Linked DNA regions of Cricetulus griseus. Each later gene encodes a partner of the first gene's protein in a complex. Links are inferred from orthologs where the notes say so. Each region holds a gene or a part of one and is shown in the gene's direction. Other genes may lie near its edges.

Region 1 (8,097 bases):
TTTTTATGTTATCTATTTCAAATGGTCAAAACTTTGCTGTTTTCTGAATAATATTTGTCTTATAGATTTCGTGGATGAGAAAGGGACCTTTATTTCAGTAATAAAAACAAAACAAACAAAATTCTCAAATTTCTTTTTAAAACAAGCACAGTTTTTTCTATGAGGTCTGAACTATAGTTACTTGTGAGTTTTACAACAAATCCAGATAAAAGAATAGAAATAAAATTATTTAGACTCATAAATATGCAGTCTGTATATTATATGTATTTGTGTATATATAAGGTATGTATGTAATATACAATTATATGTAAACCTACTTATCTTGAGAAACAATTTTGGAAATATGGTTATGGCTAATTTTCAATTACACATTGATTTCTGTTCTGTACTCCTAAGTTAGTGTTCTCAGCAAAGCAATTATGGATGAATCAAATTGAGAGAAATGTGGTATCTAAATATCTTTGCCAATCAGCTAATGAAGCATGGTGTTAAAATCATTTATGAATGAAAGTTTTATAAAAAATTTACCATGTGGTGCATGGAGTCTTTGAGTTCTGGAGATATTAATAAATCAGTAGCATGAATAAAATTAAAACAATAAATATTGGATTGAAACATAGTTCATGCCAAACCAACATTCTAATGCAACATAGAAGCATGAGGATTTGAAACTGTAGTCCTGAGTTCTTACTACCATTTTAAGAGCAGATTATTCACCTAAGAAACAAACTGAAATAAAATCTTCTTCTAATTACAGTTTCCCCAGGAAGTAAGCTTTTAAAGAATATATGCATATACATGAAAGTAAAGACAGGGCTTAGAAATCTAGAGTAAGGGAGAATGGCAGGGTAAGAAATGAAGTTTCTGTAGCATCTTTGTAAAGAGAGACTGTTTTGAAGCATCCACGGGTATTTAATAGCTAGTATTAATAATAACTAATAATTTAATATTGAAACAAAGTCACTATGGAGCTGAAGGTAGAAGACTGGGCAGTATCACTCCTTGATAAGGTTATTGTTGGCATAAAATATGAACTTAAAATCTAGAACGTTTACTTTATTTTTAAATTTCATGACCTTGACCCCATTGTCCGTGTTCAATATCCCCTCCTTTAAAAGTTGAGGAAAACTTATCAAATAGAATGGTAATCTATATGTGCTGCAAGTAGGCGACTGGCATCTGTGAGAGTAGAGTTCAGTTTCCTACAGGTTGAGAGTCAGCAATACCTTATTTCCATCTGTTCTTGCTTTACATACCAACCAATGTTACCTGTCTTTCTGAGCTTAAGATGAAAAGAAGAGGAGAGAGAAAAGAGAAGAGACAGACTGATATTAATTTAGTATGTTGACCAAGTAGTGAAGCAATCATGCAAAACCCTGAAGGAAGATAAAGTCAGTTGCTGAAAAGTGTAGTGGCACTGGAATAACAAAGTGCTGCCTCTAAGCTGATTGTATCCAGCTTTGTAACCACCTTTGTCAAAGCCAGAACTTGGAGGAAGCCCTGTCCTTTACTTGACTCTAGTATCATGTGGAATCCATCTATTTAGATTTATAAACCTCATCTGACTTTTCCTGTTTGTGCAGCTGGTGTGGTTGGGGTTGAACGTCTTCCTCTTTATTCACTACTACAAGTTTTATGATGATGGACCTAAGTACTTTTATACTCGAAAACTCCTTGGGGTGAGTAAACTTCTACCTCATGCAATATCAACCTGTTTACACTTCTAGGCAGATGTGCTTGTATGTATTCCTTTTAAGATTGAAAATAAATATTCTGATCAACCAAGACAACATCACCAGCTCCCCTCCCCAAATGTAAATTCTTTGGCAAGAGTCTCTTAAGGCCTGACAGTGTAAAAAAAAGAAGAGTCTCTTAAGGCCTGACAGTGTAAAAAAAATGAAGTGTGGCAGAGGGTCCTAGCTGCATCCCTCTTTACCCATTATGTACCAAGCTTAACATAGGAATCCCTATAATGGAAAGCCTAGTGGGAGCCACCCATACAGAGGTGACACTGGTGTGACAATTGAAATTTTCTATAGTTTTCTAAGTTAGATGCTTCATATCATTTTTTATTTGCATGGAGAAGCCCTCATAATGACATGTGAAATGATCTTGAGGAAATGAACCCTAAGCTACATCTGGAGACTTGTGGGAACTTGTTTGTGTACTACATCATTTCAGTAGGCCAGCAGGAAGGAGAGCCTTGAATTTCTTTGAGTCCTTAAGTAATCTGTTTCCTTGAACTGTTATGTCTCTTCATCACAAATGAAAATAATTACAACTACTGGCACTCCCAGAGCACAGCATTTTTATATAATGCTGAAAACAATTACTTATATTAATGTTATAATCATTTGTTTAAATATTATCAAACATCACATTGTTAAATCTGTCTTTAATGTATCCACCATGATCTGTTCTCCTTGTATAATAGGCAACTTCTTTAGATATTGCTAAACAGATTTTGCCCAAGTATTACGCCATACAGTTAATGTCTAAATGCTAAGGGGACTTTGTTTAAAATCAAAGATCTAGTTCTTATACTGACCTCATGAGAATGGTATGTACACTTAAAGATTTAGGAGGAAGTAAGCTGATGCATGCAACTTACTTTAAAACATATCACATATATAAGAGGGCTCAAAGGATAGGAGTTCTTGCTACACAAGCATGAGGGTAAGAGTTCAGTTCCCCAGCTCCCATGTAAAAAGCTAAGTGTGGCCACACGCACCTATAACTCCACTATTGGAAGCGGGAGGGAGTAGTAGAGACAGTAGGATCCCTAGAGCTTACTGAACACCAGACTAGACAAAAGACAGCGAGATCCTGGTTCAAGGTGAGACCTTGTCACAAGGGAATAAAGCAGAGAGCAATAGAAATACAGCAGGACACCTGATAGTCTCCTCTGATAGAGAAAGGGATGGAAAGATAGATATATGATAATGCATGCATGCTAAAATGTAAAAGGTTTAGTCTGGGAGGTGGGTAAACAAAAATCAAAGTACATTTATTTCTACTCCTCTTCAGGTTTGAAACTTTAAAATATTCAGTTGGGGGTGAAAATCAGCTTCAGGTAAAATAAAGCATATCAGTAGACCCTAAGAAAAGGTTCTCTGCTCTGAAGGAAATTCCATTCTGGATGTCCTGAAGGAGCTATGTGGGGGTCCCATGATAGCGCTCAGGGGAGAGAAGTATGGGTCTTCTGCTCACCAGTCTCTCTCCTCCCTATCCACTCCCTTGTAGTCAGCACTGGCTCTGGCCAGGGCACCTGCAGCCTGCCTGAATTTCAACTGCATGCTGATCCTGCTGCCAGTGTGTCGAAATTTGCTCTCCTTCCTCAGGGGTTCCAGTGCGGTAAGAACAAACCTTCTGCTGACTGCCTCAACTTTTCAAGCCGTCATGCTCTTTTTAAGGAAGAGCAAAGTAATGCATTGGGAAGCTTATCTTGTCTAGAATATTCAAGAGCTACACCATGTCCTATGCTGTCATATACATCACATACATATATCAACACACATAAGTATTTATCTATTAAATGGTATATATCAAATTATAATATACTATTTGAGGGTAGTGTTCCCTGGAGCAATCATTTGACTTGGTAATTTTGAAAAATAGCTAAACAAACTATATATCAACAATAGTAATGGAGTAAACATACATGTGTTAGGGGTATATGAGCCAGACATGTGATATTTTGGAATTACCTGCTCAAGAATATTTTTAAGTTTTTATCAGAGAAAACACTTTTTGTGGGTAGCATCTCAAGCAAATTCAGTCATTGCACAAAACAACATACCATAAGAAAATATCAGTAGTAACAGTTGATTCCTATGGTGGCACATATCTATAATCCCAGCAATGAGGAGCCTGAGACAGGAAAATTTTAATTTTGAGGCCATCCCAGGATACATAGTGACTTCTAGGCTTCTCTCAGCTACATCGTGAGATCATTTTAAAAAGAAAACAAAAGTAAAGAAAAGCAAAGCAAAGGATTTTAGCTTCATGGGATTGAAAGCTTCAGAGCTTTCCTCATGTCCATAACCCCCTTTGCCCTATAAGATTTTATATATGTTTTAAAAACTGGTAGCATTATATGAAGATGAAAATTAAGTCATTAATATTTATTTATCACATGTGTTCAAAGAAATGTTGTACTGAGCAAAATACGGTAGATCCCATAAAACATTAAAATAAAGAGCCATAGGCATCAAATATGACAGAAATTACATTAGATGGGGTAGGGAATGCCAGGAAGGTTTCAGAGAGAAGTAGCTTGAGAATCAGCATGTAAGGATAAATCAACAGCCAGAACTGGTTGATGAAATAGGAAAGTATTCTAGTTCAGTCAGGTTCCCCAGTTGTCGGACCGGAGTCGGTGATCTCTCACTAGCTCGGGTCAGCTAATTCTGTGGGTTTCTCCATCATGGTCTTGACTCCTTTGTTCATATTATTGCTCTCTGAATACAGATGACAATGGTGTGGCTGAGGCAATATCTGAGGCCACTGGCAATGGGTCGAAGATCTAGCTCTAATGCACAAACTGACTTTGTTGAGCCAATTCTATATAAACAGATACCTTGCCCATCCTAGACACAGGGGTGTGGAGGTGGTCCTGCCTCAAGGAGATGAATGGACAGACTTAGTAGACCTCCTAGGGGAGGCCTTACCCTGTCCAAGGAGCAGATTGGAGGTGGTTTGGGGGGCAGTGGGTGGAGTGGGAGGAGGGGAGGAGGGGGAACTGGGATTAGAATGTAAAAAATAAATTAAGAAAAAAGAAAAAAAGAGAAGTATTCTATGCGGAGACAATAGCATGGGCAAGAGCATAGAAAATGATGAGAAATTTTTATACTCAAAATGAAAAATATTTTAATACCTTCTGTATTACCCTTTATTGTGTTCCATTTAAATGTATTTGTTGGGCAAAGCATGCAGCTCAGTAGGACAGTGCTTGCCAACTATGTATGAGGCTGTGGGGTCAATCATCAGTACCAAAAGAAATGCAAAGGATGGTGTTTATCCAATGTATGAGTTGATGCTTAGATTGTTTTCCTTCTATGAACATTTGTGTACTTGGAGAATGAAGATGAATATGTTCAGGTTCTATCTGTCTTGGGAGAAAGAGGGATAGTATATTCTTCCCAAAGGGGAAAAATATAGAAACAGTGCACAGAATTGGACAGGTTGAACATGAAACTCAAGCCAAGGACAGGCAGCATCCTGAGCTGGATTGAGATATATTTCTGTGTAACTAGCCTTTAAAGCCTAATTATCAGCAAGACAATGCTTCACTTTGGGATTTTTTTGCTATTTCTGACCATATTGAATAATTCCTGAGAAATATTTAGGGGTTAGTGTCCTCCTAGGACCTGGAGTTCGACGGCCAGCTAGTCTTGCAGAATAGGTGAGCTTCGGATTCAGTGAGAGATTTTGCCTCAAAATTAAGGTGGAAAATAGAGAAGACACTTGACATCAACTTCTGAGCACCCCACAAACTTGTCCACCCCTCCCCCTCACTCCTAAAATCTTAAAATATGTAAGTTAAAATCAACTTTGAGGGAAAACAGCAAGCAAACTACATTTATGAGAGGACAGTAATTGTAATGGGTGTCTACGGCAGTGGTTCTCAACTTTCCTAATGCTGTGACCCTTTGTACAGTTCCTCTTGTTGTGGTGACCCCCCCAACCATCAAATGATTTTCATTGCTACTTCATCACTGTCATTTTGCTACTGTTATGAATCATAATGTAAGCTTCCATGTTTTTCTACTCCCTGTGAAAGGGGTCACGACCCACAGGTTGAGAACTACTGCTCTAAGCTAAGACTTGGAAAGAGAGCAGGAAATTTGCTGGGAAACTAGGCACTTAAAAATAGAGCTAAGGAATTAACTCTTCAGTTGACAATTACTGAATATATGAACTAGATTGTGATTTACAGATTCAACTTATGTTTTACTTTACCTCCCTCTTTCGAGTCATATAAAATTCATATTAGTGTAAAGAAGAGTTTTTATTTAAAAACATACATCCATCAATTTGCTAAAATGGGATGAGCAGACAACAATTAAACTTTGATACTACCCACCTCTTTACAAAATACCATTTCATCTTAAACTGCATTCTCAGGGGTCTGAGAAGAGTCGGGAAAAGGTGCAGCTTGGTAGTGCCATGCAGTCAGCCCTGAGTTCCATATGTAGTTGAGCAAAGTGTTAGAGTCATTTTGCTCAGGAGCAAAACAACAAATCAAACAGACAGAAATAAAAGAAGAATGTTGGCAAATCCTTTGAGCTTCTCTGGAAAGGGTCAGGTCCTTTAGCACTGGAAAATATTGTGACAAAGCTCCTTGATCTAAGTCATTAATTTGATGTCACAATTTCACCTTGCAAACTGAGCAAAACCAGGGCAAAATCTCACAAGAGTACCTTGTGGTGGACATTGGCCACGAGGCTTTCCAAATAATCTCCTGAATGGAAGACTCCACAGACATGAAATTTCACTGGATTGAAAGGCTGAGAGCCAAGCTGCCCATCCATCTTTAAAATAGTACAGGAGCCAGATGAAGAGTTGCTAGATGAAACCATTGCACAGTGACTTTTTGTTTTTTATGGAGACATGATTTGAGTGCTGTAAAAAAATTCTCCCTGTCCCCACTTGAATACTTTCTATTTAGAGGAAGTAAAGCCTGAGAAACAGGCAGTGTTTTCACCAAGGTGGTCAGTTAAGAAATCCTGGTTACCCCACAACCCGAAGTTGCATAGCCTTAAGTGTCCATTTCCCATGAGCACCACATATAAAATGTCATGAGTATTTTTAATAGCAGTGGTAAATTGGAGAAAAGCCCAACTGTTTAACCAGATAGCTAGATCTTCATACAGAAGAACCGTTTCCCCCACTCATTTATTTATTTATTTATTTAAATTAGCATATGGAGTCATGGGCATTTTCATACATACTTGGTTCTGGCTGACCAGGCTCTTCACTGTCTTCTCTCCCCATCTCTCTGTCATTCATTGCCACTTATACTCCTCCTTCCCTAGAATTGCTCTTTATGCTTTCATACCACCTCTTCTGTGACCCTTCCTTCCCAATTCCCCTCCCTCAAAAACAATGGTCTGTTACAGGGATGGCATGCCCTTCTTTCTGAAATTGGCCGTCTGAAATTTGAACTTGGAAAAATGAAACTACTTTTCTGATTGAGATGTTAATGCTGTGACTAATGTTGGAGATCGGAACTGTCATAGCTCACTGAAGCATCATAGAACTCATGTAAAAGGAGTGAGGTGGCAACACAATTAAATGGGAGGATTGGGGTTCAAAGCCAGGTAATTGTGCTCCCAGAACCCATTTGATTTTGTATGTGTCAACTAAACATCTTGAGCTGTCCCTGTGGTTCTGTTTAATATGACTATTTGAACCTGCTAAATAACCTACTCTAGAAATGGTAAGGATATAATAATTTCAAGAACTTGTTAATGGAACACTGTGCTAACTAAACAGCCATGGAATTTTTGTTTGGTTTTAGAGGTCTGAATCATTCAGACTTGGGTTTTGAACCCTTCTGGTTGCCCCAAGGATAGGACTAAGCATACAGAAGTCCTTGGTGAACTTTTAATAACCTCGCTTATGTGTAGAAACAAATTTTTAACTTGTGACCATCCTAATCTTCAGGTCAGACTGAAACAGGAAGGTTAAAAGATAAGGTCTTTTGCCTTATGTCTTATATAGTCTCAGAATCAGAGGGCCTTGAATGGCTCCACCTCAAATGATGTGTCCTCCTGGAGGGAGTCCCTTGTGCTTTCTGTCTCAGGAATGATTTAGCAGGGAAGTAGGTCAAATAATGCAAATTAAATGTGAATATGCCCTTCTAGGAAGGGCTGTAGCTTAGTGCTGAAGAACATGCCAAATACAAAAGGCCCTAAATTCCATCTCCCATGTTGAAAAAAGAAGATGGATGAACATACTTTAGTAAAAATATACTGAAAATTAAGTTTGTCAGTTATTGAATTGTCACCCTGGTCTTTCAATATATTAATAACTGGAGACACAGAGTGAGTAAGGGCAGATGGCCACAAACTTAAGGAGCTTAGAGTCTTGTGG
Region 2 (6,965 bases), on another chromosome or scaffold:
TCCAGGCATCCGGTCTTGGTCCCTGCTGGTCGGTAAGACTTATGTTTTTCCCAAGTCAAATCTTAAGTGATGGGAACAGTTTCTTCGTATTCTATTGGAGGTTCTTGTCAATACAAGACCTTGGTAAAGCATGCTTCATTCACTTTGGTGTGCCTTCCCTTTCAGAGGGCATGCAGGGTCCCCTTAACAGACATGCACTCCCAGCCTGTCTGCTTTCTTGAGGTCACTAGGTTTTCTTCCATGTGACAGGTGATCATGGGTTCACATTTCTCTTCCTCCCTGTCTCCGTCCTCCTGGACTCTGTCCCCCATCACTGCCTACCAGAAGTGTCTTGCATCTCATGAACAGCTGCACTTGTGTTGGCTGGGCTGTTCAGAGTCTGAGGTGAGGTACTGGCTGTGACTTCAGCAGCAGGTTCTCTATAGTCCTTTATGATTCGTGAAGGTCCTCATGACATTCTGCATACTGTGCTCTGTGTTGTATTATCTCTGTGTAGTCTTGTCTTTGCTCCTCATCACAGGTAGGCAATACTGACATCTGGGTCATTGCATTTTTCATTTGATTGCAGACGAGTCTGGTGAATGCCATGGATAGCATAACCTGTTTTTTTTTTATTTAATTTTTTAATTATGTAAGTGTATCTATGTATGGGTCTGTGCAGGTGCATATAGGTGCTGTGGAGTCCAAAATAGTGTTACATCTCTGGCGCTGAAGTCACACGAGGTTGTGAGTGGCCTGCGGGTGCCAAATGTTGGACTTTCTTTGGGCTGTCAGTCCACAAATAACGAAATGGAAATTTATTATGAAAGTTTGGCTTTTAGCTTAGGCTTGTCCCCAACTACCGCCTATAACTTAAACTAACCCGCATCTATTAATCTGTGTTCTGCCATGTGGCTTTTTTTCTATAAATAATTATTTAAGTTTATTTTATGTGCATTGATATAAAGGTGTCAGATTCCCCTGGAACTGGAGTTACAGACAGCTATGAATTGCCATGTGGGTGCTGGGAATTGAACCTGGGTCCTTTGGAAGAGCAGCCAGTGCTCCAACTGCTTGCTTCTCCAGCCCCCATGGCATGTGTTTTTTTCTACATCTCTTCCATTGTGTTTGTCTGACTTGGTCCAAATCTTGTTGAGGTCTCTGAGTGCCTAAATTCATCCCAAGTTCCTTTCGCTGCTCAGAAGTACTGCCTATTCTCTCCTGCATAGCTGTTGGCCATTCAGCTCTTTATTAAACTAGTCACAGTGACACATGTTCACACTATGTGATAAAATGGCCCACAACAGTGCTGAGAACTGAACTGGGTTCCTCTGCAGTAGTATATATTCTTAAACAATAAGCTATCTTTCCAGTCCCCCCCTCCCTATTTTTAAACAAACTTCTTGGCTGTGTCCCCAACCCTGCACTAGGTAGCTTCTACCTGCTGCCCCTGAACAAGCTATCCTGCTGTGAGACAGGCCTGCTTTGGGGGGCTGCAGCACAAGAAGAAGGGGAACTCTCCTTGACAGTTAACAAGATAATCCCTCTCTCCACAGGAATATTATCCACTGGCCTGGCTGCTGCCTATTATAGTGGAGGTAAAGTATGTTTTTCCCATCAGCTTCCTTGTACTTGGAAATAAACAAAAAGCAGAGAGCATTCCTAGTGTGTGTAACCTTTGGGGTGGCCTTTGCCTTGCCTTGTGTGAGAGATGACTATAGTCCATGTCCTGTACCTTAAATTTCTTCCTGTTATAAAGTACTCTCGGAAAGAAGCTCTTTAGTATTTATTTGCCTGCCACTTTGCTACAGGGAAAAATCGTGTGTCTTACCCTCCATGACAAGGTATATAGATCTACCTGTCTCCTAGGTGGACTTAGGCAGAGTTTGGGATACACATGTCACCAACGACCCAGGAAGGTACAGGAACGCAGTTGACTAAGCCTGTAACCTGAGATGAAGGAAGGAAAGGCTGGGCTGGAAGGACCCTCCTGTGGACATATCACTTTGGCTCCTTTAGCTAATGGGCTGATATACTATCTCTGCTTGCAGATAGTCTGGGCTGGAAGCTCTTCTATGTCACAGGCTGCCTGTTTGTGGCTGTACAGAACTTGGAGGATTGGGAGGTAAGATGGTATAGTAGCACCCTTCCCATGGGAAAGCATCTGTCCAGGTCCACAGGCACTGGGTTACCTGGACTCAGCCTTTGACTTAGCTTGTAACATTTCTGGACTCTTCTAGAAGCTGCTCATAACTTTTTTCACCAAGGTTCTGTGTTGTTCTTCTGCAGGCTTGCCTCAAACTCAAAAGTAAGCCTACTACCTCAGTCTTCAGATAGGCGTGAAGCACCACACTCAACTCCAGAAGTTCTTTTTTTCTAGGGTTGTGGCAATAAGTCTGCATTGTCCCTGGGCTGGACTAGCTACACAGGCAGGGACCTGTGAGACCATTCTGCTAACTCAGTTGGACCAGCTCCCAGGCCCTGAAGTTCAAGGGTTGGGGGCTTCCTCTGACCAGCCAGGACTTCACTGCAGGCCTAAAATAGTTGAAAGGAATCAGCAGAAACTGAGCCTGGGAAAAGTCAGGTGGTAGCCTTTGGGGGCGTCCCCTATCCTTAGCTTTAGCCCTCTTAGGATTATGGAAGCTTCCTGGCCTGGGCTTCTGCTTTTTGCTTAATGGCCTCATTGCCAACCTGTCTTGTTGCTCTTTTATTTGCCCAGTACTGAGGGATGAACTTAGGGCCTCATACCTGCTGGGCAAGTGTTCTATCACTGAGCTAGATACCCAGCCTGGTCTCGTTCTCATGCAAAGAGAAAAGGGCACCTATTCCGTCTGCTTTCTCTCACATGCCCCTTAGGCACAGAAGGTGGCTCTGGAAGAGCCCTGAGGGCTTTGGGGGGTGGGTTTCCACTGGGCATCTTGAGTATTTGTGCCAGTGTGGGTGTGGTGATCCCTCAATACTAGCTTGCTCTCTTCCTGGAGTTGTGTGTGTGGTTAGCATACATTGGTTTGCAGGAAGCTATTTTCAACAAGAGCACTGGGAAGGTCATCTTAAAAACATTCAGCCTCTACAAGAAGCTGCTGACTCTCCTAAGAGCAGGCCATGACCAAGGTAAGATGTGGGGAGTTGCAGTTTGGTGAGGGCTTGGGGAGGTTTGGATGGTTTGCTTGCTCAGGGAATGAGGGTCCCCCAGACAGATCCCAGCTTGCAGGGTGGGATCCAGGCAGATACCCCATCCTGCATACTTAAGGACTAAGCCTATCAGTAAGGATGGAAACGCCTTATCAGCTCCCTGCGGTTGGGTAACAGTAGTTGGAGTGGGTCACTGTGCCAAGCATACTAGCAGGAGTCATCTGTTCTTCAGGGCCCACTAGGCCTCTCTTAGGCCCAGGTCCTGTAGCTGTTTCCTATCAGCTCTGCTAGCCTAGCAGTGAGAAGATGGTCAGAGGAAGCCCCCAACCCCTGAACTTATGGGCTTGTGAGCTAGTCTGTGAAGTAACAGGCTCTCATAGGTCTCTTCCCTGTGTATTCAGCCCAGCCATTGTGCATTACAAACATGCAAGTAACTGTGTGTGCATCCCACAGGATCCTAAGTAGGCTTTAACATAAGGAGTCAGGCCTCTAACTTGTATGGAGTGCTAACAGTATACAGCCAAAAGTAACATTCGAATGTGGCCCATTCATTGGCCGTGTACAGCCAATGAAGACCAGAGCAGGGTTGTGGGATGCGAGCTAGTGCGCTGGCTCAACTTTCCCAGGCTGCTTGTTGAGAGCCCCAGCACAGACAGCAGGCCACGGGGTCAATCTGATGTCACTGTGGCAGTGGGGTGAAATAGGCTTTCCAGTGGCTCCTGGGAAAGCAGTATCAGCCATGCATTAGTTAGGCAATGGTTTTCCTATACAAGGAAATGACAGGGGTGCCCCACTGGAACCAGATAGGTTTTCCAGCCTTCGGTAAAATCAGGCAAAAAGAGTAGCATGAAGATGGCAGCTTGGGCTTAGTGATCCCAATAGGATTGCTCAGGGCAGCCAGCTTTTGCCTAAAACTGCAGGAGCGATGAGTCTCCTGAATGTATCCTTATCCAGATGTTATTCTGAATCCACAGTCTAGAATGTGGAATAGTAAACGCTTTTGTCACTAATGCCACTCCTACTGTTAAGCAGAGTTCTACAGCATAGGGTAAGAGCATAGGGATGGCCGCTCATCTGCAAACCCTTCTGTCCCCAGTGGTGGTCCTGCTGAAAGACATCCAGGATGTGAATGTGGAGGAGGAAAAGGTCCGTTACTTTGGGAAGGGCTACACTGTGGTGCTCCGGTTTGCAACAGGCTTCTCCCATCCCCTTACTCAGAGTGCAGTCATGGGCCGACGCAGGTAAGGGTGGTGTAGAGCAAGACTGGGCTATCCCTTAGTGTTTCTCAGGGCAGCAGGGGAGGAGTTGAATTTTGTAGACAGGAACATGGGGCTGGAGGAGGGATGTATGTACTTAGGGGCAGCTTTGCCATGGATATCTGTGGGGAGGGGGGCAGCACAACAAAGTTGATGTCTGTTAAGAGTATGACTGAGGCCAGAGGTACTGGGCCTGTTTGGGACACCAGTGGTTGTTGTAGGTGGTGGGGGATGAGACAGTGTAGGTCTTCTGTGGTGTGTTATGGAACCTGTACCCTTTGCCATGGTGACCTGCTTTCTTGATGCTCGCCTAGTGATGTGGAAGCCATTGCCAAACTCATCACTAGCTTCTTGGAACTGCATCGCCTGGAGAGCCCCTCAGAACGGTCACAAAGCAGCGACAGTGAAGCCGATGGCCCTGGTGATCAGAGCTGACAGTGTAGAGTGGCTGCTGGTAAATGTCACCCCCTTCTGACATGTCTCCAACTGACTTGCCAACTGTGAGCATGCAGGCAGATCTTGGACACCTGCCTATGACTCCTTGGGCAATTCTTGTGTGGACCACCTGCCTTTTGCTTGTTTATGCTTCTACGCTTTGCAGAACCATGGGCTGATGTGCTCCACAACCCAGAAAGGCTGCATCTGTCATGATGCAGGTGGGGGGAGCTACATCCAGAGGAGGGCAGGGTCTCAGAACTCAGTGCCTTCTCCAGAGTCAGATGGCAGTTCTGGCTTAGGCAGCACAGTCTGGTTTGGATGAGCTCACCCAAGGGCATCTGAGGTTTAAGACGCCAGTCTTTTCTTCAGCATAGGCCCAGTGCCTGCCTTCAAGAGGCCTTGCCACCCAGGCTATTGTAGTGAGAGTGAAACACCTACATGCCTGTAAGGAGAACCCTCTCTCTGTGCATAGTGGTGTCGACTTATTGCTATAAATCCTGATATCTCTTCTCCCCACCCCTCCTCAAAATGGACATCCTTGGTGGTCAGGGGCTTCCCTGAAGGCAGCTCAGAATGCTGGATGCCTGGATGCTGCCTGGCTGCAGAACTCTCAGAGAAAAGTGCTGCCGACTGCCCTGTTCCTGCCTAGACCACTTGTCTAAGGTCCCAGCAGTGTTGTAGCACAGCTGTTAGGAAGCTCTCCCAACCCAGCCTGGGGAGAAGCTGCTAGTGGAGGAAAGGCCACCTCTTCTGGCATCCTGCAGCCTTTAAAACCTGGGAGCTCCTTTACAGAAATTGAGTCTTAGCCTCTCAAGCCTTGAAAAGAAGGTAGACATGTGAGGCACACCCCTGTAAATCCCAGTTTTAAGTGAGGAATGAAGAAAGTTCAAGGCCAGTGCAGGCCACTGCCTCTTCTAACAGAAGTTGGTACCTGCCACTGATGGCTATTTCCTGCTCTTCTAGTTCTCTTCTGGGCAGACTCAAGTCCCTCAAAAGTAGTGCTCATGAAGTTTCCAGCTTGGCTTCCAGGCCTGAAAGCTGTGGACCTCTGGTTTGCACATAACCCCCCAAAGCTGAGTACCTATGCCTGGCCAGGTAGAACTGGGAAATTGAGGAGTTATATAGACAAAGAAGTCAAGGCAGCCTTGAGGCCACTTTGCCTGGGCTGAGCAGGAGTAGTTAGCCAGAACCTAAACAGGTCTTCTCTGAAGTGACTGCTACCAGTTCTGACTTGGGGAACATGATCCCTTGAACTTGCTAAAGTGAGCTTTTTAAATGGCCAAGTTAGACATTTTTTTTTTCCATAAATGAAAAGTGGAATACAGCTGTTGGCTTTTAGCTTGTTGCCTACAGACTTAAGGTACTTTAGACAAGGGAGAGGAGTCTCTCTCTTGGGTGCTGTCAAATACCTTTCCTGTATATCCCAGTGCTGGGACTCATTATTGGTGAAGAAATGAAGCCCTTTTCATAAGCAAGGGGTATGGTAAAAAGCTGATTCAAGTTCCTGTTAGGATTTCTGCTTCTACTGGTCTTTTTATTTCATAATTAATAAAGCTCTACATGCAGATTGCAAATGAGTCTCCATGTGCCTTTTTCTGTTTTCTGCTTTGCCCAAGGTAACTCTATGCAGTTTGGGAGCAGTCTGGCCGCATGGCTGGGCCCTGAGGCAGGAATCTGGGTGCTACCCAGGCAGATATCCAGGGCTCCAGCCCCCCCCTCAGGGGTTCTGACCTGTGTCCCAGCCTGGGCTGGCGGGTGGTGGCCGTGGGGCGGCTGCCTCGCCCAGGTCCTGCAGTAGACCCTGCAGTCGCTGCATACTCGGGAGCACATTCTCCTCCAGCCACTCCTCTACGGTGTCCGGGTAGAAAGTCAGCTGAAGTGCTGCCTCCAACTGCTGCACGAGGTTGCTCCACCTGTTCAGAAGGCTGAGGGCAACAACAGCCACCAGTTTGACTTGATGAGAATTCCTGCTAAGGCCCGAGTTTACATAGCTAAACTCATGTCCTCAGCCCCTAGAGCCAGTACTGTTACATGCCTCAGTTTACCATCGGGATGAAAATAAATGAATGTCTGGTCACATTTTAACAATCAAGACCACTGCCTGGAAGTTTTCCTCACAGCCATGAACGGTCATGCTGTTGGCAGCAATGTACTCAGTGC
Region 3 (8,097 bases), on another chromosome or scaffold:
GTGGATTTTACACATGGGTTGCCCTTTCTTTTCGATTATTAAATGGTATATGCTGTACTGATAATTTCAATTTACTCTGTTGGAGAATATTTGCCTAGAAAGGATTTTATTATAAATGGGAATGATTTCACTTAAAATGTTCTTGTAAATTATTACTTTTTCCTCCGATGAGGCCAATCTGTTTGCATCTATGTGCACTGATCTCCCCCAAACTCCCAACAGAATCCTTCTAGAACTCCATCTAGGCTCATCATGGTTTGGCGTTCTCTGCCACTGTTTTCTGTGGAGGCTGTAAGTTGTTCTCATCCACTAATTAGGAAAAGCAAAGCAAATTGCCATTTACTGTGTATCCACTGCAATATGTATCACCAGCCAAATTAAGTACTTCCACATTTTCCAAACAGTGCTGCTCCAGGGTTAGTATTCAGTAGAGGCCAGCTGCTATGATGCCTCACCTCATTTCATTCTCTAGCTTCAACATCAGGTGTGGAACCCGGTCCAGAGAGGCTACACTGCTACTCAGGGACCCACAGCTAGTAAATGGGAGCTGGTATAAAAACCTAGGATTGGGCTATAGAGATGACTCAGCGGTCAGTAGCACTGCTCTTCCAGAGGTCCTAGGTTAGATTCCCAGCACCCACATGGCAGCTCACAACCATCTGTTATTCCAGTCCAGGGAATCTATTGTCCTCTTTTGGTCTCCATGGGCACCAGGCATGCAGGTGGCACACAGACATACATGCAAACAAAAAACATAAAAAAACAAACTAGACCTGCAGACTCAATGGGGGCTATTTCCACCTCACTGCACTGCCTTGGGGAGGACATACAGCCAGGCATAGTACCACACATTTAATCTCAGTACGTAAGAGGCTGGAGCAAGAAGATGACTTCCAGGCAGCCCTGTACTACCCAGAGAGACCCGCCTGCCTCAGAAATGTCTTTTAAAAGTCATGGTTCTGAAGCTTTAGAGAATATGAGGATTACCTAGAGCTAGCACTTAGGAAGAATGTTTTAGTAGGTTTTAGATGGAGTGCAAAAGCTGAATTTCTAACAAGATCCTTAGTGTTTGTGCTAGGAAAAGAGGATGAGTTCAGTGCCAAGAAACTTTAGGGCAGCAGGATGGCTCAGCCTGATGATCTGAGCTCAACTCCCAGAGAACTGACTTGTCCAAGTTGTCCTTTGAGCTACTCATACAACATGGCTCACAGGTACATAAACACACACACACACACACACACACACACACACACACACACAGAGAGAGAGAGAGAGAGAGAGAGAGAGAGAGAGAGAGAGAGAGAGAGAGGAGAGAGACAGAGACAGAGACACAGAGAGAGACAGAGAGAAGCTAGCTGAATTTATACCATAGATTGTCATTTACTTGTGGCTCAAATTATTTCCCAATATGAAAGGAAAGAACAACACCTACATTAATCACCCTGGGACTATTTTAAGATTTCAGTAAGGCAACTTAGGCCTACTGAGGGTTCTGTACACCTTTCAGTTTCATTTACCCAACCATTTAGTATTCATAAAATATTTTAGGCCTATGCTAAGTTCTGAGCATCAACTGCTTCCATTAGTGGTTTTCAGTATTCACTGGCCAACAAATTAGCAAATTTAATAGGCCCCTTGCTATTTCAGGGTGATCAAGGTTTGATAGACGAACCCAAGGAAAGTGAAAACTTTGATGTCAATACCCGGACAGCAGAGCCTCAGCTTAAGGAAGGAAGCCAAGTAACAGCAATCTTCAGTTATGAGGCCACTCAGCCGGAAGACCTGGAGTTTGTGGAAGGAGATGTAATCCTGGTGCTCTCACATGGTAAGTCGTATTCCAAATCACAGAACTGGACTCATGTATCAGTAAAAACAAGGTCAAGGTCAGACAGAGAACATCAACTCTTAAGTCAATAGTTTCAACTGACTTCCTAGCTTTTGGTAAAAGGGTCCACATGCAAGGGTGTGGCTTTCTCTATTAGGGACAAGACTATGACATCATCTTGACTGTTCCAGTATGTAATTGGCTTTAATTGTTCTGCCTTTGCTATAAACCATAAAACCTTTAATTGTACCTTCAGGAGAGAAGGGGAGGGCCCATTCTGCAGTAGAGGCACACTTGTGACTTATCTGATTGTTCGGAACCTATGGATTAAGAAGTGAACCAGACTGGAGGGATGGCTCAGTGGGTAGCAGTGGCAGGGCTTTCGGAACAGGGATTCTAGTATTCATGTAAAATCCTGGCTGCGGCCACATTTGTGCCTATAACTCCAGTACTGTGGGAGCAGAGACAGGCATTTTGGTAGGACTGACACCTCAGCTCCAGATCCAGTTAGAGTCCATCTTAAAGGGCTAAGAGAAGACAGACACCCAACTACTTCTGGCCATTGTATGCGCAGAGGCTCTTTACACACAGGTGTGCGCGCATATACACACACACCTTCCCTACACAAAAGTAAAGCATTACGTGAAGAAGTCTCAGTGATTCTCAATGTTCATTATACCTAAGCATCCTTTGAAGGGTTAAGTTTATTGGCCCACCTTCCAGAGTCTGGGTCAGATGTGGGGTGAGGCCCACAAAGTTGCACTTCTCAGCAGTTTCCAAGTGATACTGGTCTAATTATATCAGGAAGTACTGCTGTAATTGAGGTGAGTACTGAGCATCAGCTGCTTCCAGATGTTCTCCATCTGTTCACTAATGCTAAGCATCATTAAGGCAAAGTAGTATGTAGCTGTTTATAATAGCAAATCCAATAGACTGAGTGAAAGACTTGCGGTTACCTGGATAGGTGTGTCAGGGTTTCTATTGCTGTGGAAAGACACCAGAACCATGGCAACTCTCATAAGGGAAAACATTTAATTGGGGCTGGCTTACAGTTCAGAGGTTTACTCTATTATCATCATGATGGGAAGCATGGCAGCATGCAGGCAGACGTGACATCAAGGTAGCTTAGAGTTCTACATCTTGATCTGCAGGCAGCAGGAGACTGCCACACAGGGCACAGCTTGAGCGTATGAGACCTCAAAGCTATCCACCCCCCCCCCCCCAGTGACATACTTCCTCCAAGACCACACCTCCTAACAGTGCCACTCCCTATGTGCCAAGCATTCAAACCCATGAGTCTATGGGGACCATTCCTATTCAAACCACCACAATAGAGTATATACAACTCATCGTGTATAGTGTAGCAACTCAAAGGAGAAAAGCATTTTCTTTCAAAAGAGATTACAAAATCAGTAAGGACTGGGCTTAAGAACCCAGCACCATGTTGTATAACATCTAGCTTTTTGTGTATGTGGTGGTGGTGTTGGGTAAAATAACAATGAGAACACACAAGAAAAACCTTAAGAAGACACCATATCCTATGACACTCATGATAGCCACAGTGGTTTAAGCAGGCAAGTGTCCCTCTGTGCAATCTGTTCTCAAGATAACAATGGGAGACAGAATTTAGCATCTATGGAGATGAAGCTTTAGTGTGTATGACTTGCTGGGATCCTCTTCAAATGGACACTGGCTAACTAAAGCTTGAGATACAGTCAACAGATTCTGCATTTTGGATATGTTCCTAAGACCCAGGCAAGCAGATGCTTCCAACCCATAACCAAACCATAAATAGAAGACTGAAGGTAGTGGTCTGCACCTTAACACTCTAGAGGGAAATTGGGGAATAACTAATGCTTAATCATAGTCTACACTATACTTGTTTTCAAGACAGGGTCTCACTATGTAGCTCTGGCTGACCTAGAACTCACTGAGATTCACCTGCCTGTTTCCCAAGTGTGGTGATTAAAACGGTGTGCACCACTATGCCTGGGACTATAGGAAGTTCTAGTAGCATATCCAAATATGACTTCTGAATGGCTCTTGTATGTTTAAATGGATATAATTAACCTGTATGGTGTGATTTGATGATTACTTTCTGGGTGTCTCTGTCCTTAAAAATGGGGACAATAACTTTTAACTGAGTTACTTACTGTTAAGCCCTGAGTGTGTATTTAGTCACAGTGAACATATCTTATTAAAGGATTATTATAATGCTTGTTTTTACAAATGTACTAAACCCAATTCAATTAACAATTTTTTCCCCCCAAGACAGGGTTTCTCTGTGGCTTTTGGAGGCTGTTCTGGAACTAGCTCTTGTAGTCCAGGCTGGCCTTGAACTCACAGAGATCCGCCTGCCTCTGACTCCTGAGTGCTGGGATTAAAGACGTGCGCCACCACCGCCCAGCCCTAACTCCAAGTTTTAAGGTGTTGATTAATCACTATTGAATTTACCAGCATGCCCTTTCATGTTATCAAAACGAATTCCAGCAAAGCCTAGATAAGATGGTTTCTTAAAAAAAACCTAACAAACCCAAAAACTCCCCTTGATGATTCATGTTCCGTTCTTGTATATTTACAGTAATTCATCCTACATTTTACTCTTATTTATCACATCTACAACAGAACCGGTAGACTTTATGTTCACTTTAACCTCAAATTACTTTCCAGTATGTTACCACAAAGGAAACGGGAAGATGACTAGCTGGGTTAAGTGCTGACCACTTATGACAGTGCCATTTTTCCTGTCTTTTAGTAATCAATATATACTTTGCTTTTATCAGTGAATGAAGAATGGCTGGAAGGAGAGTGTAAAGGGAAAGTTGGCATTTTCCCTAAAGCCTTTGTTGAAGAATGTGCAACCAAGGACTTGGAAGGCACTCCCAGAGAAGTCTAGGATGCTCTATAACCCACAAAGCTGAAGAGCGCTAGTGTTTTCAAGATTTACCCATCTCTGCTATGCACCAAAGACATGTTTGGAAATCTTCTCTAACGTAACATTTCCCTATTAAAACTGAACCCATCCCACAGTTGTGAGAATTTGGGATGATTTCCTTGTACATGAGAAGAGGGAGATAAATTTTCTAGAAAGGGAATGAAGGGCTCTTCTTGGGTGCTGGTTACCCAGATATGAACTTCATGAGAACTTCCGGAGTTCTCATGCCAAAGGGTGCATCCTTCTGTTATGAAAATAGAACAGGACAGTGTCCAGACCCAATAGATGATTGGGAATATTCTTCCTGATGTTAAAGCTTAGGTTTCATTAAAGAGGAGCTAGGTTTAATCAGGTACCCATGGAGTAGAAGATTCATTCCCATGGAGAATTAAACTCTCACAGTGAAAGCTCTTTATGCCTTGTTAGATGGACACTTACTAAGAGCTGAATAGTAAACACATGGCTCTAGCACCTGAATGATGAAAAGCTGTGTTCAGGAGACAGGCTACAGCCATTGAAATCCTGCTGCTTTACCTGTGCTATTCAACACTAATCCACGTGATAAAACTCATGTCATTTTGGTGGTCCCTGTTACCTGGGAACAAGGATCCCTAAACAGTAGACCTTGGGACAGTACCGCCCTGCCACTCTTTGTAGCACATAGGGCTTTACTATTTTTCAAGTTTGTAGGTGCAAGTGAAGAGCAGGAAGGACATGGAGTTTTTTGAGTTGTTCTTTGGTTTTTCAAGACAGGGTTTCTCTGTTTAGCCCTGGCTAAACCAGAACTAGCTCTGTAGATCAGGCTGACCTGGAACTCACAGTGATAGGATTAAAGGCATGCATCAACACGGTCCGGCAGGAAGTTAAGTTTTACGTGGAATCACAATCTAGGTGAGAGGCTAGTACACTGTTGAAGTTGCCTTTGGAAACTGGACAAACTGGAAGAGAGACCACCCTATGGCTAACAGTTATCGATGTTGGTGTCAGAGTCAGTGAAGTTTAAAGGCCAGACAATAAACTGAATCACCTCCTGATGAGTTACAAAGTAGATTGTTCCTGCCTTTACAGAAGCCACTCTACTGAAGAAAGAACTGTGGCAGTCTTATTTCTATCATTTTCCAGAACAATTCACTGGAATGCTAAAAAAAAGCAAAATTAACCCCAAAGCATAGCCAGTTGTGACCATCTTTCTTTGTTCCTGAAGATGGATGAGTAAGTTCTAAGCTCTGTTTTTACTTCTGTACCTTTAAGGCAGAATGAACACTCCACACAGAGTTGGTTGGAGAGAACACGGTTTAATTAAAGGCAAAGCTGATTTCAGCAGCTGCAGATCTTGCACAGACAGACCGGGGGAAAAAAAAAAGAAGAAGAAGAAAAAAAAGACAAACCAAATCAAAACACAAAGGAAAGTATTACACAAAACCAGTTGAAGATTCTCCTCCTCTTCCTCATTACCCCACAGTGAGGATGGCAAGGTGAGGAACCCTGCCGAGAGTCATAAAACATTCCAAACACCAAATTCTCATGCAGACTGGGGCTGAAGATGGGAAGTGGGTACTACTGGGAGGGAGCTGGTAAACCTGTTGGCTGGTCTAAGGTGCAAGAATCAGTGACATTTCCAACATCGGAATGTTGCAGCTGTCTGAATGCAGAGCTTACATACACAAACCGGGTGAAGGGAGCAGGGAAGGAATAGGTAAGAGGACAAAGGTGGACACAGGGAGGGGACTGGAGCAGCACAGAGGGTTTCATTTGCCATTGGGTGGGGGTAGGGAGGGGTTCACTTCCAGACCTTTCAAAAACAAAACAAAACCAAGAAAACCCAAATACCATGTCAAACTAAAAGAGCAATAGAGTAAGTCTGGGGCTCCAAGCACTCTTTCTGAAGAGCAATACCTCACCCCTCTCATTGCCGGGGCAGCCCAGACCCCAGTGACACCCGGGGCTCATGGATGTGCTTTGCTCTACAGCTGTCTTCCAGCTAAGTTCCACACTAACTCCACACTTAGCCCTTGCCCTCTGGGAGAGTAGATGGCCATGTGTGGACACACACACATGCACACACACGCGCACACACACCTACTTCCCAGAAAATAATCCCTATCCTAGCACAGCAATTGGACATTTAGATTGTTTCCATAATTTCCCCTTAAAATATTACTTTTCCAGGAAATGACTAACAGAAATGCTGTCCTTCTGTTCCTACACAGAACATCTTCAGTTCTCTTTCCTCCCAATAAATATCAAATAAAGAGTTTATTCCTTTCTTCCGCCTGTTCCAAAGCGGCGTTCGTTCTGTTTTCTTCTGTGCACAGTGTGCATTTGTCCCTGTTGCCTTCAGTTTTGTTCTTGAGGTGAAGGCTGGGAGCCTGTGACTGGGCAGAGGCCCGGCTCCTCTGTAGCGATGCAGGCACTACTGCTTCCTTCCTCTTCAGACCGTCTTTTGGGCCCCAAGTGCTGGCCCCGTGTTGCTGCTTCTTGGCGAGATGTTGTACACATTAGGGATAAAACAATTACTAGGATACAGCATATGGCTAAAGGGGTGGAGACTGGTGCAAGAGGCTGGTAAGCAGGATGGGGACACAAAACCAACTTAACAAAAAATAACCACACTGAAAGCATCCACCTATTAAAATGTGTTCCAGGCTATGAATGGAATAGCCTGCCTTCTGTGAGACTGCTTGCTACGCTACTGCAAAAGTGTAGGAATCAAAAACATTAATTTGAAATCTTACAGCAGCCACCTGCTGGTCTAGCCCAGCAGCACCACCCACACTGCATCCTCGATTGGGGCTCGAGCACCTACAGAGTGAAGGGCATTTCCTGCTGGAGTTTCCAGGCTGGAGGAAGGCCTACCAGAACCTTCTATGAGGCCTGTACTCTCCCTTATGGAACACTCCCACTGGCTTAAGAGGTCAGTTCCCTGTCCCGTCACCACCGACCTCTCACAGGAGCAGCAAACAGGACTGTCTTTGCTCCACACTGACTAGAAGTACACCTGTGTATGGAAGAATTCAGTGTGATATTTTGCTACTGAGAGTAATAACAATAAAAGATGTTTAAGAATAATTTCAACTACATTCTCAGTCAGCAAAGCACTCATAATGGATTCCTATTTTATTCCCCAAAGAGGAAAAAAGGACTGAGAAGTTCCTATTGGCTTCTCCCATCTGCCTTCCCTTCTCAGCTTCCACTTCCCACGTGTTGGGGACATGCGCGGTGGAGAAGGTGAGAGGCGTGCTGTCAGTAACTGAGCGAGACAAACAGCAGCTCCTCTCTCCTCCGGAAAGCCCCGGGGAACCAGAGTTCCGGATGGGTTTTTTCTTTTTGTTGCACT
Region 4 (8,697 bases), on another chromosome or scaffold:
CAGGCTCGCCAAGCATCTCTGATGGTAGATGGTGTGGAGCCAACACACATCTATTTATTACAAATCCCACAAGCCGGGCCCTCAACCCTGTTGCCCCAGCAGGAGTCAGCAGGACATAGTGCATGATCTATTGTAAGGAAAGTATCACAGTGAGGCAGCAGCCTTCCCTGGACTCATGGACACGGATGACACACTTTCACATGGCATGTTATAAAAAAGAAAGTCACGAGCATATGAAACTATCAAAATTGGTAAATCATGTGTGTGTACACGTGTGTACATGCATGAGTGTGTGGACATGTATGTGAGTGCATGCACTTGTGGGCATGTACATACAAGTGTGTATGTTTGCATGTGTGAGTATGCACGTGTGTGCACACGTGCACATGTGAGTGTATGTGTACAGGTGTGTGCTTGCATGTGTGAGTATGCACGTGTGTGTAGGTGTGCACATGTGAGTGTGTGCCCTTGCATGTGCATGCAGGTATGAGTATGTGTACACATGTCTGTGTGTGTGTGTGCATGCAGGTGTGAGTGTGTGTACACATGTCTGTGTGGGTGCATGCAGGTATGAGTGTGTATACACATGTCTGTGTGTGTGTGCATGCAGGTGTGAGTGTATGTACACATGTCTGTGTGTGTGTGTGTGTGTGTGTGTGTGTGTGTGTGTGTGCCTGCAGGTGTGAGTGTGTGTACACATGTCTGTTGTGTGTGCCTGCAGGTGTGAGTGTGTGTACACATGTCTGTTGTGTGTTCATGCAGGTGTGAGTGTGTGTATAAATGTTTCTGTGTGTGTGTGCATGCAGGTGTGAGTGTGTGTATAGATGTTTCTGTGTGTGTGTGCATGCAGGTGTGAGTAGGTGCGTGTCCCCCCACATGAGCACACGTGGAGGCACAGCGAGAGTGTTACATGAACTGGAGAATGGCTGGGGACAGGCTAGAAGACTGTCAAGACTGACTAACCAGGGTGACAGGACATCAGAAAAGACATCCCTGTCACCTTAATATCTCTGTTCATATGGAAAAGTGTTCAGAAAGATAAAACAGAATAAGATCCAAAGTCTCTGTTTTGGAGAAAAGCAATGAGTGTCTTTCATGGGCAACAGGTCCCCTGTGTTCATGTTAAAACATCAAAAGCATCTTGCTCAAGGTGGGACTGAGGCTCCATACCTGGCTCTGTGGGCTTCTTCAGATGAGCCAAGGAATGAAGATTATAAAACCAGGAGGATGAAACAACACTGTCTCTCTTCTACTATTGATAAACTGTCAGCAAGTCACTGTCAGCCTTTTTAGCAGGTCTCAGATTAAGCAGTAACAAGGGCTGGTAAGAGGGTTCAGAGAGTAAAGGGCTTTTCTGCCAAGCCTGATAACCTGAGTTAGATTCCCCAGGATCTCACATGGCGGAAAGAGAGAATCTGCTCCCACACACTGTCCTCTGACCTCCACAGATACAGCCTGGCAGGTGATTTTTAAAAAGTTTAAAAAGCTGTCGTGAGACTTTGGCCTAGGTTTCCACAAGCGTAAATCTAGTATGCAAAGGCTGACATTTCCCTTACATATGGGGAGCAGATAGGAAATTCAATTTAAAATTATTAGCTTCAATAGTGCTGAGAGTAATAAGGAATCAAGAGATAAATCTTTTGGAAAATGTGCATGACCTTTCTGGGAGGAAATGGCAAAATTTTATTGAAAGATATGAAGGAGAAAGAGAGGATACTATAATAGGCAGGCAGACTGAGTGTTACAAAGGTATCAGGTCCCCACTCGCTGCTGTAGATTGAACTCAGCATTGCCCAAGATTCTGGTGCCATTGGCTTAAGCTTATTCCACAGTGTAGATGTGAAATCTACATCAGCAACAATCTCAACAATCTCAAGGGTTTCCCGATTGCATGTAAAGGCTTAGAGCTGGGGTAACAGAAGCAGGCTTGTGCTGGCTGCTGGGAGGGCATGTGGACCAGCAGAGGAGAGGACAGGGTTGGCTTGCAGATGACAGTCTTGGCACATGAGACAGCTTGACTGCCACTCACTGAGAAAAGAGAGGTGGAACTCTGTTTAATGGATGGCACTTTGTGGTGGTCAGCATTCTGTCAATATGGCAGAATCTAGAATCACCTGGGAAAAGGGCCACCGAACATGGTTACTGGAGTTTGATCACGTTGATTGAGGTGGAAAGATCAGCCCACTGTGGGTGACACTGTCCTGTGGGCAGGGACCTGGACTGTGTTCATGGAGAGAAGGATCTGAGTGGCACTGTGTGTTCACTGTTTCCTGATTGTGGGTGACCAGATGCTTCCAGCTCCTGCAGCTTTGGCTTGCCCTCTGTGGTGAACCAGAATAAACCCTTTCTCACTTAAGTTGCTTTGGTCAGAGCGTGTTCTCACGGGGGTAGGAAAAGAAACTTAGAAAGCACTAGAGAATTCAAATTAACATCCCACAACAACTACAAGCAGTCCTTGATCCACTCCACGTGTGACAGAAACCTTACACACTTTACAGAATATCTTTATAAAATTGGGTAGGAATGCTTAAGGAAGACTTAAAGAGTATAAGTCATTAGGGAAGAAAATTTAAAGTTGACTACATACAAACACATAAAAACATTTATAAATATCATAGCTTATACAAAATAATCCCAAGACTGGAAATGAGCTAGGCAATGTTTATAGCAATACACACTTGAAAATCAAGCACTGAACTTATCCAAATAATTATGAGAGGAAAAAAATATCCCAATAGAGAAATGGACAAATATGTAAATAGGCAACTTATGCAATAGGAAACTCAAAAGTTCAATAAACAATCACAACCACAAGTGCCCAACAAAATACCCCAAACACAAAAGCCCAACAACACATGGCAAGTGTCTCAGTATCCCTAACAGTCAATTGATACAATCAAAATGGCAAGAAGCCTACATCAGCTTGTAGGCAGGGGTTTTGGTTTGGGATAGTTTTCCAGCTAGGATCTTGTTATATAGCTCTGGCTGGCTTGGAACTCACTCTGTATCCTGAACTCAAGCTCACAGAGACCCTGCTGTCTCAGCTTCTTTGGATTGCAGGTGTGAGTCACCATGCTGTGAGCAGCTTTTGACAGATAGCTTGCCAAGTTTCTATGAGCTTGCTTTACTGCATCTGACCCTGCCTCCCCTCCTTTCTCCTTCCCCTACCATCTTTCTCTCACGATTCCTCTTCTTCCTTCTCTCCCATCTCTCCCTCCATCCGTTTTCCTTCTCCTCTCTTTCCTCCCCTCCTCTTCTCTCTCCTCTCTTCCTCCTTCCTTCTCGTTCCCCCTTCCCCTCCTTTGCCTTTTATCTTCACACTGGCCCCTGCTCAGGAACCCACCACCACCACCACCTCCACACACACCAGGCATCCTCTGTTGGACATTACATTTCACAGCCACCAGCTCTCCCCGCTGGTGACTCTGAGGTCACTCTCTCATGGCCCCTGTCTCCTCCTGCCTTACTCATGGCTGTGATGGAATTTCTCTGCATACTAAGAACTCCAGAACACCCTGACTTCCTGTACTTTAGAGTCACCAGCTCCCAATACAATGCCTGACACATAGTAGGCACACATTAAGTGCTTACACTTGGATTTAGGCTAACTGGCTTCTGGGAGGATGCAGATTCTTAGGAGCCTGGCCTGCCTTCTCTCCCCCCTCCATGTTTGCCCTCAAGCCCCAGACTGCCACCAAGGTAACTCTGAATGAGTAGAACCATTTTGTCCCTGCCCTAGGTCAGGAAGTGAACCTCCAAGCTCAGAGGGTGCCCTGATTCCCGTTGGAACTTGGGTCTGGTGCCCATGGGTGGCCCAGGCCCAACTTAGCACCTGAGGGGCCCCAGGTCCTCTTCCAGACCGCATGCTCCACCCCCCTCAAGGCTGTGGGGCAGCAGCTTGGGTAAGTTCCTCTTCCGTTTCCTCCTGCCTCCTGAACTCGGGTGTCGCTCCTCACTGCAAGACACCTCCCAGCCACTCCACACCGCTGGTGTCCACAGCAACTCTCCTGGCCCCCAAGTGTCATCACTGGCTGCTGGGTCTCGAATGAAATGCAGGCCATCAAGTGTGTGGTGGTGGGTGATGGGTAAGTGCCTGGCTGAGTTGTCTCCCACCCCCTACCAGGATGTTGCCTCCCTAGCATACTCACAGGTTGAGGGCTCCCAGGAGGTCCTGGGGATAGTCACTTCCTCTCCTAGGGCTCACAAGGAACATTTGGGGTGGACCTGGATTGCTCTTCTGTTCCCATCCCACCCCATCCCGGAAGCCACCTGGGTGGAGGGCCTAGGACTGTGGGTGGGGTACTGCTCCTTGCCTGTACCCTGAGAGCTGGGGTAGGGCTCCTGTTGGGGGCCTGGAGTTATGTTCCTATTCAGTGTGCAGGTGTGAAGTGAGGAAACCAGGCAACTTGACCTTTGGACCTTTGTTCTCCAGGCTGACCTAGACACTGACTTGCTGCTGCTGAGGGACTACTGAGAATTTCCACTCTTTCTGACTCTTATCCCGCCATCTGTGCCAAGGCCTCTCTGCCCCCAGGGGTGGGCTGGGGTCGCTTGAGACTGTCCTGCTTGTAGTGTAGTGGGGAAGATGAGAGGGGATGTCAGTGAGGAGTATGGGGAACACTGGGGAACACTGAGGCCAGTGTAAGGGAAGGAGGAAGGTGAAAGGGGATCGCGGGGACTTCCAGGGGGCAGGCTGGCTGCACCCCAGCTGAGGGTGCATAACCATTGTCAGATCTTGGGACCACAGGCTGTCATGGCCCCAGAACTCAATCTGATGAGTAGTCAGTGGGTCCCAAGGCCACACTTGGGTTCTGCTGGTCTCACTGGGGGCAGAGGCTATCTGCTGCTCAGCTGACTTTATTGCCGTTGCGGCTGCTGCTGCTGCTGCTAGAGGGGTGTCAGCCAGCCGTTATCTGCTGCAGCTGCCTTACTCACTTCTGCTTTGTATCTGCTCTGAGTGGGCGAGAGGGGGGTGGCCGGAAATCAATGGTTCTACTCATTCAGAGTTACCTTGGTGGCAGTCTGGGGCTTGAGGGCAAACATGGAGGTGGGAGAGAAGGCGGGCCAGGCTCCTAGAATGGGAAGTGACTTAACGGAATAGAGCTGGGGAAGGCCCAGAGCTGCCCCTCTGGCCTCTCTGCTTCCTGCTTGAATGACCTGGGCAGCCTCCTAGATTGGCAGGGAGACAGCCTAAATGGTGGTCGTCTCTATTTGTCCCATTTCTTTGTCACTTACTGTGCGTGGTCACCTGGTCATGGCCCTTTGTCTAATTTAGCTTCCCACTAACCCTATCTGCCATCGCAGAGTTCATTTCATTGGTGGGAAGACTGAAGCCCAGAGAAGTTAAGAAACCTCCCTTAGAGTGCAGAGGATTTGAACCCAGGCCCCTTTGGTAAAAAGCTCCATACTCTATAAGGCTGCAGGCATTCCTTAACAGTCATTGGTTGTTGTGGCGCCTTGCATGGGTTCAGTCTGGTCTTAGGAGTGTCACTTTATTCACTGGGAAGATGGACTTGTCCTTGTCATCTAGATGCGGAAAGTAAGGTACAAGCAGCTTAGGAGACTTGCCAAAGTTGTGTAGATGGTAAATGGTGGAACTGGGATCTGAGCCCAGGTGTGTGACAGCCTTGTCCAGGTCTCCATGGCCCTCTTCTCTGCTCAATGGCTGCCTGTGTCTATCACCTGCACCCAGGACATTGGGACTTGTACAGTTCCTCAGTTCTCCCAAGACGCATGGCTCAGACCCATGGCCAGGATTGAAGTCAGTGTATTTATGGGTACTGTGGAGAGGTTGAGAGCATGGCCACGGGGTGTCTGGAATTGGGAGACTGAGGCCCAGAGATGGGAGCCTGTGTAGAGGGCTTGGGTCTCCCCTTGTCTTAGGCACAGCCAGTGACCTTGTCTCTTCTGCTTCTTGTCTCTTGTCTTTCAGAGCCGTGGGCAAGACGTGTCTTCTCATCAGCTATACCACCAATGCCTTCCCTGGAGAATACATCCCCACTGTGTGAGTTCTGCCTGCTCCTGGTACTTCTTGGGGGTCTCTTCTTTGGACCCCTAAGGTCAGGCAGGCTAGTAAAGCTAGAGAGACTCCACCTTGGGGAAACTGACCCCAAGGGAGGTGGATGCTCCAGAAGGAAGAAGGACTGTGGGATGGACTGACCAGGAGAAGAAAGTAGGAGTGGAGACGGAGTGTGGCAGTGAGGGAGGAGTAGCACTAGAGAGCAGCAAAGTTAGGGGACCAAATTGCTGGTGTGGGGCAGTACCAGCTGCAATCTGTGGGAAGACTTTTTTCTGGTGCAGGATATAGCCACAGGGGGCAACCATGATACAAAGTGATGAGTGTCCAGGTGTCAGAAGGGACTCTGGGCAACCCCCACTCACAGGGAAGCTCCCCAGTGCCTTGCACAGATTTCAGTCTCTTCAGGCTCTCCCTCAGTCTCCTTTCCTAGAGATTTTACCCACTGTTTTGCTTTTTATACCAACACTCCTTTGGTAAGCCTGCTGTAGGGCCTTTGCATCAGCTCTTGCCATGCCTGTGGTGATTTCCTGTCTCATCCTCATGTCTACACTCTCCAGCCCATCCTTGGTGTCCTCCTGGGAGCCTTTGATCAGGCCTAGAGTCCTATCATCCCCCAGAGGAGTCTGCCAGATCTCCCCCAAGATCATGAGCCTGTGGAGGGCAGGAGCCTTGTGTTTTTCTCGGGCTCTCCTCACCTTCTCTACATGGCGGTTGACACACAGTGTCATACATACACAAAGTCTTATACATGACAGATGTGTTTTGCAGTGACAAGGCCCAGTGGAACCATCACACTAGTTAGAAGGCCTTCAGTTTGGTGGCCCAGTACAGGATGTCACACTCCTGATTGCATCGTGTCCTCAAGGGAAGAGGGTGTTACAATATCCTGATGGCTCATTGCAGCTAAGGGGCTTGTCCCCCAGGGCCACTCAGCCTGTATGGCTTCAGAGCCTCAATGGGGCCCTTACCTTTATCTTCACGGGAGCCCTGCCTGGAGCATAAAGGGTAAACAAAGGGACACCCAAAGCCCACCCCTGCAGGCCATCAGAGGAACCACCAACCCCACTAATGCCAAACCAAGGCTCTACTCCAAGTCCTCCATGTCCCTGTACAGGGCTCCATTTCTGGAACAGGGATTCATCTGTCTCTGACACCTGGCTTAGCTGGGAGGACCCAACAAAGGACAGCCAGAGGGGCTGGGTAGACAGCTGGACATTGCTTTTTGCCCAGTTGTGTCCTGATATGAATGAACACTAGAAACTGCCCTGCTGCGTAAAGTGGGGATGACTCTTGCCGTCAGGTTTCTAAGGCTCTGGGAAGTCAGAGTGACCCTAGGTGTGCAACCCCTTGCACGTCCCTACTCCTAGACCTGAGCAAGAACAGGAACAAAGGGGATTCTGGTTGAAGGCCACTGTCACCAGGGTGTGTTGATACTGCCCTTGTCCCTGAGTCAAGACCCTATCCTGTCTTTACTTGCCCTGGCTGTGGTGGAGGACCCACCTGCTCAGGGATTTCAAAGTGGCCACAAAGTGGCCACTCTCCCTCTGAGCCCACGAGCCTCAGTTTCCCTTTTTACAAGAGACAGACCCTGGACTGGGAGATCTGAGCCTTGTGCAGCAGCTTCCCTGTGAGGAGGTGGGAGATGAAGGCTGAGGTCAGGTGCTGAGGTTTGCCCCTGATTGATAGCCCTGTGCTATTGTGTAGGTGGCATCTGGTGCCAACTGCTGCTGGGGTTTATTCTTCTGAGATGAACCCGTGGCCAACAAGGTTGGCACACACAGCCTTAGATGGCCATACCTGCGAGAGAAGGGTTCTGTGCCGAGTACTAGGGCTCAGGGACATGACAGCAGCCTGTGCCTTCAGGCACAGAGACAAGGGTCCCCACCCTGGCTACCTCCTGACTCTGTCCAATGAAAGCCTGCATAAACTTTGCTTTTTTCCCCCATTTTGTGGTAGGGTATATACTATAGCCCTGACTGACCTAGAATTCACTGCGTAGCCCAGGCTGGCCTTTAGCTTATAGCTAGCCTCCAGTTTCTGCCTCTGTCTCTCCAACAGGCAGGTTCCCGGTAAGTTTTGTGGGGGTTCTTTTTGTTTGTTTGTTCTGTAGTATAGGCTGGTTAGTCTAAACTCACTGTGCAGATGAAGATGACCTTGGACTCCTGATTGTTCTGCCTCCCTCCACCTCTGGAGTGTTGGGACTACATCACATCTGGTTTTATGTCGTGCTGAGCTTACCAGTCCCTAGGCAAATCTTTTTATTTAATTTTTTTCCCTAGATGAACTTTCAAAAGTAGAATTTAGGCAAAGCCACAATCTGGTCTAAGTTCCTCAGGTGGATTCCCTTTATGCTTAAAACCCAGTAGAAGTGTGTATCCAAACTCCCAAAGGTCCACCTTGGCTGTCCCATCTCGTCCAGGTGTTCAGTCAATGATCCCTGGGCTCTCGACTCCATGCTCTCCCTCAGGGGGACCCTAAGCATGCCTCCCTTCCGACAGCATTCCTGGCCTTCAGCAGTCTGTCCCTTCCTTCTCTTTCTCTCAGTTTATGTCCCACCCACTGAGAACTCTTCAGGGCTGGGTCAGAGCTGTGCAGGGCCAAGGGCCTGGTGTAGCTAGCTCACTCCTGACTCTAAAACAGAGTTTCAGCTTCTAGAATATCATATTGCTGCTGCTGGC

Evidence for each region.
Region 2: the proteins of cytochrome b-245 heavy chain (region 1) and cytochrome b-245 chaperone 1 are in contact, whole or in part, in a cryo-EM structure (PDB 8KEI), measured with the Homo sapiens proteins. The link is inferred for Cricetulus griseus from reciprocal best matches to the Homo sapiens genes CYBB and CYBC1. Residues at the interface, in NP_000388.2 of Homo sapiens: Trp28, Asn74, Leu75, Leu76, Ser77, Phe78, Leu79, Arg80, Gly81, Ser82, Ser83, Ala84, Cys85, Cys86, Trp206, His210, Phe212, Pro266, Met268, Trp270, Lys271, Ile273, Tyr280, Tyr324, Phe326, Lys328, Leu335, Glu336, Trp337, His338; in NP_001028218.1 of Homo sapiens: Arg22, Leu26, Ala37, Ser41, Gly42, Asp43, Trp47, Phe50, Tyr51, Phe57, Gln61, Asn62, Glu64, Lys77, His97, Asp98, Gln99, Val100, Val101, Val102, Leu103, Arg108, Ser111, Glu115, Val117, Arg118, Tyr119, Phe120, Arg129, Ala131.
Region 3: cytochrome b-245 heavy chain (region 1) and Ncf2 share a complex: the UniProt entries of both Homo sapiens proteins name them as parts of the phagocyte NADPH oxidase complex. The link is inferred for Cricetulus griseus from reciprocal best matches to the Homo sapiens genes CYBB and NCF2.
Region 4: cytochrome b-245 heavy chain (region 1) and ras-related C3 botulinum toxin substrate 2 share a complex: the UniProt entries of both Homo sapiens proteins name them as parts of the phagocyte NADPH oxidase complex. The link is inferred for Cricetulus griseus from reciprocal best matches to the Homo sapiens genes CYBB and RAC2.

The regions. Positions count from the first base shown.
Region 1 is NC_048604.1:115,383,166-115,391,262, forward strand, and holds part of cytochrome b-245 heavy chain, read left to right. Parts: intron 1-1,583; coding exon 1,584-1,679; intron 1,680-3,243; coding exon 3,244-3,354; intron 3,355-8,097. UniProt on the Homo sapiens protein: Catalytic subunit of the phagocyte NADPH oxidase complex that mediates the transfer of electrons from cytosolic NADPH to O2 to produce the superoxide anion (O2(-)).
Region 2 is NC_048600.1:133,700,578-133,707,542, reverse strand, and holds the end of cytochrome b-245 chaperone 1, read left to right. Parts: coding exon 1-32; intron 33-1,535; coding exon 1,536-1,577; intron 1,578-2,030; coding exon 2,031-2,104; intron 2,105-2,993; coding exon 2,994-3,090; intron 3,091-4,207; coding exon 4,208-4,352; intron 4,353-4,681; coding exon 4,682-4,802; 3' UTR 4,803-6,379; downstream 6,380-6,965. Other genes in the region: Hexd (hexosaminidase D), read right to left, coding at 6,523-6,730. UniProt on the Homo sapiens protein: Functions as a chaperone necessary for a stable expression of the CYBA and CYBB subunits of the cytochrome b-245 heterodimer. Controls the phagocyte respiratory burst and is essential for innate immunity.
Region 3 is NC_048598.1:38,801,324-38,809,420, reverse strand, and holds the end of Ncf2 (neutrophil cytosol factor 2), read left to right. Parts: intron 1-1,647; coding exon 1,648-1,825; intron 1,826-4,608; coding exon 4,609-4,721; 3' UTR 4,722-5,046; downstream 5,047-8,097. UniProt on the Homo sapiens protein: Subunit of the phagocyte NADPH oxidase complex that mediates the transfer of electrons from cytosolic NADPH to O2 to produce the superoxide anion (O2(-)).
Region 4 is NC_048595.1:375,668,480-375,677,176, reverse strand, and holds the start of ras-related C3 botulinum toxin substrate 2, read left to right. Parts: upstream 1-3,185; 5' UTR 3,186-4,050; coding exon 4,051-4,085; intron 4,086-5,932; coding exon 5,933-6,004; intron 6,005-8,697. UniProt on the Homo sapiens protein: Plasma membrane-associated small GTPase which cycles between an active GTP-bound and inactive GDP-bound state.